Drosophila melanogaster: one gene and its partner. The protein of the gene in region 1 interacts with the protein of each later gene in a pairwise test. Each region holds a gene or a part of one and is shown on either strand. Other genes may lie near its edges. The genes, in order: PPYR1 and PpY-55A.

Region 1 (3,471 bases):
TCCACATTGCGGCTTAATTTTTAATTAAAACAAAATGCACACTAAATGCCCAAATACTTGGAAAATGTCGTGTGCTGTTGATTTTGGCTGCTGATTTTGTTGTTCGAGCGACTGTTGAGTGGCTTTCATTAGGGGCAATCGATTGAATGGAATGGAAAGGCGGCTGTGCCTGCCGTCTTTTGTTGTTTGCTCGCCGTTTGCTAAAATGTTTGCACTTGGCTTAAACGCAAAATTTGCTGATATTTGGCAAACAGGCGAAAGGATGCCCCGGAATGCGAAATGCAAAATGTGAAATGTGAAATGCAGCGATGCGTTGTCAATGGCAGCATCTGCGGTTTTCCACTGCCACGAGTGGAGTGGGTATTTTCCGAGCGGTTTTTCAGGGTAGCGGCTCGAATTGTTCATATTTTGATTAATTTCACTGTTCTGCTGCGACTCCTTGCTGTTGTTGTTGTTCTTGTTGCTGCCGCTGTTTGTCAAGCGGAGTAATTGCAAAATCCAGTGCATCTGTATATGTGCGTGTGTGCTGCAATTATGCTCACGCACACATACGCACACACGCACACTTAAGCACACATGCAAACTGCAGTTAAGCAAATAAAGCGCTAAAAGCATAAACTAAATGAATTAAACGACACACAGAGAGGCTTACAGCCCCTGCATTATGTATACACCCCAGTGTATATGCGTGTATATGTGCATGCACATATATATATATATATATATATATGGCTGATATACACCCACCCATATTTTCCTGGAACTTTCTATAAAATATGAGATAATAAAAAGTGAATTATGTTTTTGCACAGCAGCGGCAGAGGCGAATATATACATAAAAAAAAAAAACGAGAGCAAAAATGGGGCGGTAGAAAAACACGAATCTCGCAAATAAATGCGAATAACTACATCAACAGGGGGGCCACAGCAACAACAAGAGTTAATTGCAATTGTTTGTTCGCCAGCTTAGTTTTTTATTTGCACTTTAATTATGAAAAATAGTAGCAGAGCAGAGCAGAAACTAATTTTCATAAGTACACAACTTTGTGCTGGAAAAACAGAAGCAACACACAACGAGGACGAGCAGACACATGACTTATGACAAAACACAGAACTTGATGGCCAAGACCATGGACCGACCCCTCGACCACTGGACTCTTGGCCACTGGACTTTTGGCCACTCCACAGAGACACAAGGGAGCCACAGGAACGGGAAGCCAAATGAAATGAACGGAGTGGGTAGAACGAAGCACTCGGCGAGCGTATAAAGTTATAAATAATAATGCCGGAAAATTGCGCTGGTAACTGAACGCTTAAATGAATATCCTAGCAACTCCATGGCAATCATATATATAACTTTTCGAAATAAATGAGGGGTTGCGAACACTAGAGACACGTAATTGAATGTTATGAAAAATACAAATATTTTATAACGAAATTCCTTGAGTAGCCTTTTATTGGAATTTGAAAAAATTATGATGTCCATATATATCAACTCAGTATTTATGTACCAATGCACAAGAAGTACATAACATAATGCATTTCAAAAGCCTCCATTAAACATATGCAAAGCATATATTAATTGAGTTATATGAATATATATTATGATCTTATCAAACTTATCAAACAAAAACTGAGCAACTGTAACTTCTGGCTTATATTTGCTGAGTCAATCTTAAACCGTTTTTGGGAAAACTTAGTTGCCCAGTCGATCAGCTGCCAGGCTCATTCCGTTTCTCATTCAGTTCAGCTCCAAACTCGCTCGCCTTCAGAGCTCCGATTATATAATAAATTATATATCTGATTTTTACTTAAATTCGAGCTTTAACAATCGTTGCACCTTCGACGACAGTATGAACGTACCACTCGTAGCCCTCACCAAGGATCCCAAGATGAAGAAGTCACAGAAGAAGTCATCAATGGTGGCCGTTCCCAAGATGTCGCAGAAACCACAGAAGGCAGCACGTCTATTTCAGCCAAAGGTGGAGAACAAGATTACTTTGACCACTCCATTGACTGCACCCAAAAAGGAACGGGTGAAGGACATCAAGGTGGCAGATCCTCTTGAGAAGGAAGTAGAGTCAGTATTCGTTACAGTACCGAAAAACAAACTTTGCAAAACCAGACGCAATCGTCCTGGTGACCGACTCTTTGATCGCCGTTCCGGATCGAAACGCACTGGCGTAAAGGCGGTGGAAAAACGCAATGGAGCCGGGGCCCACAACTGGGGATCCATCCAGCAGGAGATCGACTTGCGTCAGAGGACCAATTTGCGCACCTTCGAAGGGATGAAGTTACCAAAGGTATCGAGTTTCGTCTACGAGTACGATTCATCGGAGGAGACCGAACAATATACACTCGACGAGTGGCGTGCCATGCAGGCGCAGAAAAAGCAGGTTTTGAATAAGTTTATAATGTCTGATTTCGGTACAAAGAAAGAAGTAACAGGGGGTTCTGAAGAAACTGTACGAGCCGAGGGATCAGGAGACACAGACGACACCAAAGGATTGGACAAAACAGGAGGAACTGAACAAACAGGAAATACTGAAACAGGGGAGAGGTCTGCTGGATCTGGAGAAACAGAAACAGCCGCAGCATCTGGAGTACCTGACGCATCTGGAGGATCTGGAGGAACTGAGGGATCTGGAGGATTAGGAGGATCAGGAGAGCTGGAAGACGATGGCGAAGAATTAACCGCTGACCGCCCGTTGTACGTTGTTGATATTCTGTTAAATTTCAACACTGATCAAGGTGTTATTCCTTATCGCTTAAAATTCATTTAATTTGCTTGCGTTTGCGTGTTACATAGTATTAAATCGTTCAAAATTAAATAATACATGTATTTTGAATAATTTCTACGTTCTTTAGGATATATATAAATCATAAATACATATAAAAACATAATCAAATAAAAATTTTATATTAGTTTATCAAGCTTTTAGTGATCTGAACAATTTTCCTTATTTTTTCAGGGCCTTCCAAATAATTGGGAAACCCTTAAAGTCATTTTAAGGCTGTTTCCCACAGTTTTGATGGAATTTTCCGGCGTCACCGCAAACTTTTCAGTTTTCCATGTTGTGTTTCCGCCTGTTTCTCACGCCCACCCCCAAGTTCGCCGCCCTGTTTCTGGTTTTTGTGCCTTCTCCTTCATGTTACATTAAATTGAACAAATTCTAGCGAAACAAAAACAAAAGCACAAAACTGTGGGAGTATAAGGAACTTTAGAGTGCAAAAATGGGGGAAAAAATAAGTCTGCCAACTTTTTTGCGCGGCCTATTCTCTGTCCCCCTCTCCCTATCACAAACTCTATCGCCCTCTCGCTTGCACGAATTACACAACTCACACGGCCCAGAAAGAGCCGGCAATAGTGAGCGAAAGGGAGAGCAAGAGCAACCAAAACTATCTGCGGAACTGCAAATTAAATGAAATTCTAGAAAGGTTCTTAGTTCCACTGTGGGTTTTCCACTAATG
Region 2 (3,779 bases), on another chromosome or scaffold:
GGAAATTGTGTTCTTCAGCTTGTAACCAAATTTCGAAACCAACTCCGAAGGAATCTTTCTTTTTTAACATAATATGACATAATAACAGGGGAGTTTAGATTAACAAAAGGCAACCACATGTCGATGGTATTTTCTCTGAGTGCACTGGGTTCCACGCGCATTGCATCAAGTACTTTAGTACGGGAGGAAACCAAGAAGTTCAGAGCACGTGTTGGGACTTAGGAGCAACCTTTCCGCCCCCCAAAGTCCTGTCGCCATGGCAACTCTCTCAATTGTTGTCCGGTTCATGTGTCCTCCAGTGCCCCGCATCCCCCGCCACCCAAATAAATAAGAGCATTTATATGAATTTTGTTTTGATTTTCTAGGACAAGCAAAAAAAAAGGGGTAAAGTAGCTAATAGAAACTTGCACAAACTCTGCAGCACATTTTTGGTAAGGAGTCAGTTTTAAAATGAAGATTCATAGGAAAAATGGTCGTGCAGACAATGTACGATGAAATAATCAGCTTTTTAGAAATGAAAACATGATGGGCATGTATGGGTGAAACAATTTGCATATTTCGATTGTTTTGGCAATTAACTGCAAAGTTCAAAGTTTTTGGTGTATTGAAGAGGACCAATAATTTTTGGAAACTTATAAGAAAATGGGTATTTGTTTGCCAAAAATTGATGAATAACAATTATTAATATTAATACAAAAAAATTTTAATTCAACATGTGTTTTCCGTAAAATGATGATTCCATTAGAAGAACAAGCCAGATGCCCGCCTAAATGCATTTTATTATTTTATTTCTGTCACTTATTCCATCCAGCTGATGAAGATATATGCGCCACAAATTCTTTATCATTTAGAATGCGATTTTGGTCGGCAGTGGACAGGGCCATAAATACTAATAGCCAAAATAGCCGGGAAGACATAAACCATAGCCGAGAAAAGTAATTCCCACTAGAAGGACGAGTAATAATCAACATCAAATTGCCTCGTTTCGAGTTCCAGTTCCAATTTGGGTCTTCTTTTTTTTTATATTTTCGGGTCTCTCGGTTTCGGTTTCGGTTTCATTTTCGGTTCCAGTGCAAAGACTCACTCAAGTTCATTTATTTTTATTGTTTTCGGAGCTTTCGGCGACAATTTATGGGCCAGCGGAATACAAAGATATTTATGTTGGTTGGTCTTGAGCGAATAAAATGGCGAAACTTATGTATATGGCCAGTCGGAACTTTATTTTATTTATTTTATATTTTTATATTTTCCTTTTCAATGAAAAGTGCAGGGGCGAAAGCAATGCGAAAATGGTGGGAGCAAGAGAAAAGCGGAGAAAATCTACGTAGTACGTACACGGCATTCAATGAGAGTGAAGAACGAATAATTTACTTTCCTTTTCCCCGGCTAAGCATCCAGCATTCTATCTTATTTTGCACTAAATTTTAACAGGATTTAGCCCCGTCACTCTTTGCTGTCAACTGCTAACAAGCGGCAAAGACGTCGGAGGTTTTGACCAGCCGAGCGATTCAAGCCAAGCCAAACTTGTTGGCCCAAAGGGGGGTCCATTCAAGGGTGCGGAGGTGGGCTGAGTTCGTTGGTTGGACTGAGGGAGCAGGTGGACTGAGCGGTGTGGGCGTGGCATCGTGTCCATGGCGAATGAGTTTTGTCGCAAATCCGCTTACGTCCACACCGCCGCTACGAAAATTGTGATGGCGCTTCTGATGGAGATGACGATGACGACAACCAAGATGATGCTGATGACGATGACGATGATGATGATGACGGCCTTCACTACACCCCATTCACGCCCAACCCCACCACCACCCACCCTTGGAGCCATTTTAACTGGCACATAAATAAATTCCATAAATCTTTTGCACTTTAACGCTTCTGCTTTAAGCCCAGTCAAGTCTGGGCTAAAGTCGGATGTGGATTTTGTGGAAAGTGCGGAGCTGGAAGATTATCCTCACATATATAAAAAAAATAGTCTTAAGCGCTAAATATGTTTAATTTCACTAATACTATTACAAACAAAAAACACTTCCTTTCTAAAAAATGTCACAGTATATTATAAAAATTTTTCGTTGTATGTTTAGTACAAATAAAATCGAATACGATGGCCGTCTTAACTACTCACGAAATAGATTGCATTATAAAGGAGCTCACATCCCTGAATGGAAGTGAGTGCACATTAAAGGAGGAACTAATCGAGAGACTCATTCAACAGACTCGTGAAGTGATCAAATGGCAACCGATGCTGCTCGAACTTCAGGCTCCGGTCAATATATGCGGCGATATTCATGGCCAGTTTACAGATCTCTTGAGGATTTTCAAGGCATGCGGCTTTCCACCCAAAGCCAACTATTTATTTCTCGGTGACTATGTGGACCGGGGCAAGCAATCGCTGGAAACAATTTGCCTGCTATTTGCTTACAAAGTTAAATATCCGCTAAATTTCTTTTTGCTTCGCGGCAATCACGAGAGCGCCAGTATAAATAAAATTTACGGATTTTATGACGAGATCAAACGTAGACACACTGTTCGTCTGTGGCACAGTTTCACCGATTGCTTCAACTGGCTTCCGGTGGCCGCATTGGTGGGCGAGCGCATCTTCTGCTGCCACGGAGGACTGAGTCCATCGCTCCGGAATTTGCAACAGATCAATCATATTCAGCGACCCACTGATATTCCGGATGAGGGTATCATGTGCGATCTCCTTTGGGCGGATCTAAATCACACCACCAAAGGCTGGGGTCACAACGATCGCGGTGTGAGCTTCACCTTCGATAAGGTCATAGTTCGGGATTTTCTTAAAGCCTTCGACTTGCAACTTATGGTTCGCGCCCATGAGGTTGTGGAGGATGGATACGAGTTCTTTGCCAACCGACAGCTGGTCACCGTATTCTCGGCCCCCAACTATTGCGGTATGATGAACAATGCCGGCGGAGTGATGAGTGTTAGCACAGACTTGATCTGCTCCTTCGTCATTATTCTACCGTGTCACAAATACAAAATGATTGCGACTGATGCCAACCAAATGCCGACTAACGAAGAGGAGTGATTTTGTTTTTCATACATGTATATATCACTTCGTGCAATTAAATTCGTACAATAACAATTCTTTTTATGTAGCTGATATATCAAATATATATACTATATATACGTTCACATTTAAATATTTAACCAGAAAATAAAAGACATTAGTTACTAGTATTCCATTGCATTTCTAAGTCTTTCAAATTAAGCAAACAAAACAGTAGCAATATAAATTACTCGGAAATTTGAGCTTCCCTATGAATACTTGAAAATAAAGTGACTTCAAATTAAATTTTATCATATTTGAATATTTGCCCGAAGTCAACTCCTTGTTGACTTGCACAACTTCATAGCAATTGAAGGTCAATGTGAGGTAGATTTCCCATCCGAATCTCCGACTGACCCACTTCCTGTGTCACCTGGCAGGACTGGACGGACTGGACTGGACTGACAGGTGGCTTCAACACGCTTGTTTCGCCATTTCATTTGCAGCTCGTTGCTGTGCTGCTCGGCCAAATGAATTTTATATGGCTCTTAAGTTGGCCCAGACTTGCTGCCAGATTGAGATGCTGATTCTGATGCTTATGCTGATGCTGAAGCTGATTTCCTGATGAGGAGGCATTCTGCAGCTTAGCCTCCTGTCCAAGGTTCGCTGGTTTGGTCCTCGTGCATGAGACAACATTTATTTGATCTGGCAAAAGTCGCATGGCAAACAGGCGAGTGTGTGTATGTGGACTTGGACTTGGACGGACTGCTCAGTG

The links.
Region 2: the proteins of PPYR1 (region 1) and PpY-55A interact in a two-hybrid assay, tested with the Drosophila melanogaster proteins (one study listed by BioGRID).

The regions. Positions count from the first base shown.
Region 1 is NC_004354.4:15,243,220-15,246,690, reverse strand, and holds PPYR1 (protein phosphatase Y regulator 1), read left to right. Parts: upstream 1-1,777; 5' UTR 1,778-1,853; coding exon 1,854-2,783; 3' UTR 2,784-2,832; downstream 2,833-3,471.
Region 2 is NT_033778.4:17,954,808-17,958,586, reverse strand, and holds PpY-55A (protein phosphatase Y at 55A), read left to right. Parts: upstream 1-2,016; 5' UTR 2,017-2,098; coding exon 2,099-3,043; 3' UTR 3,044-3,191; downstream 3,192-3,779.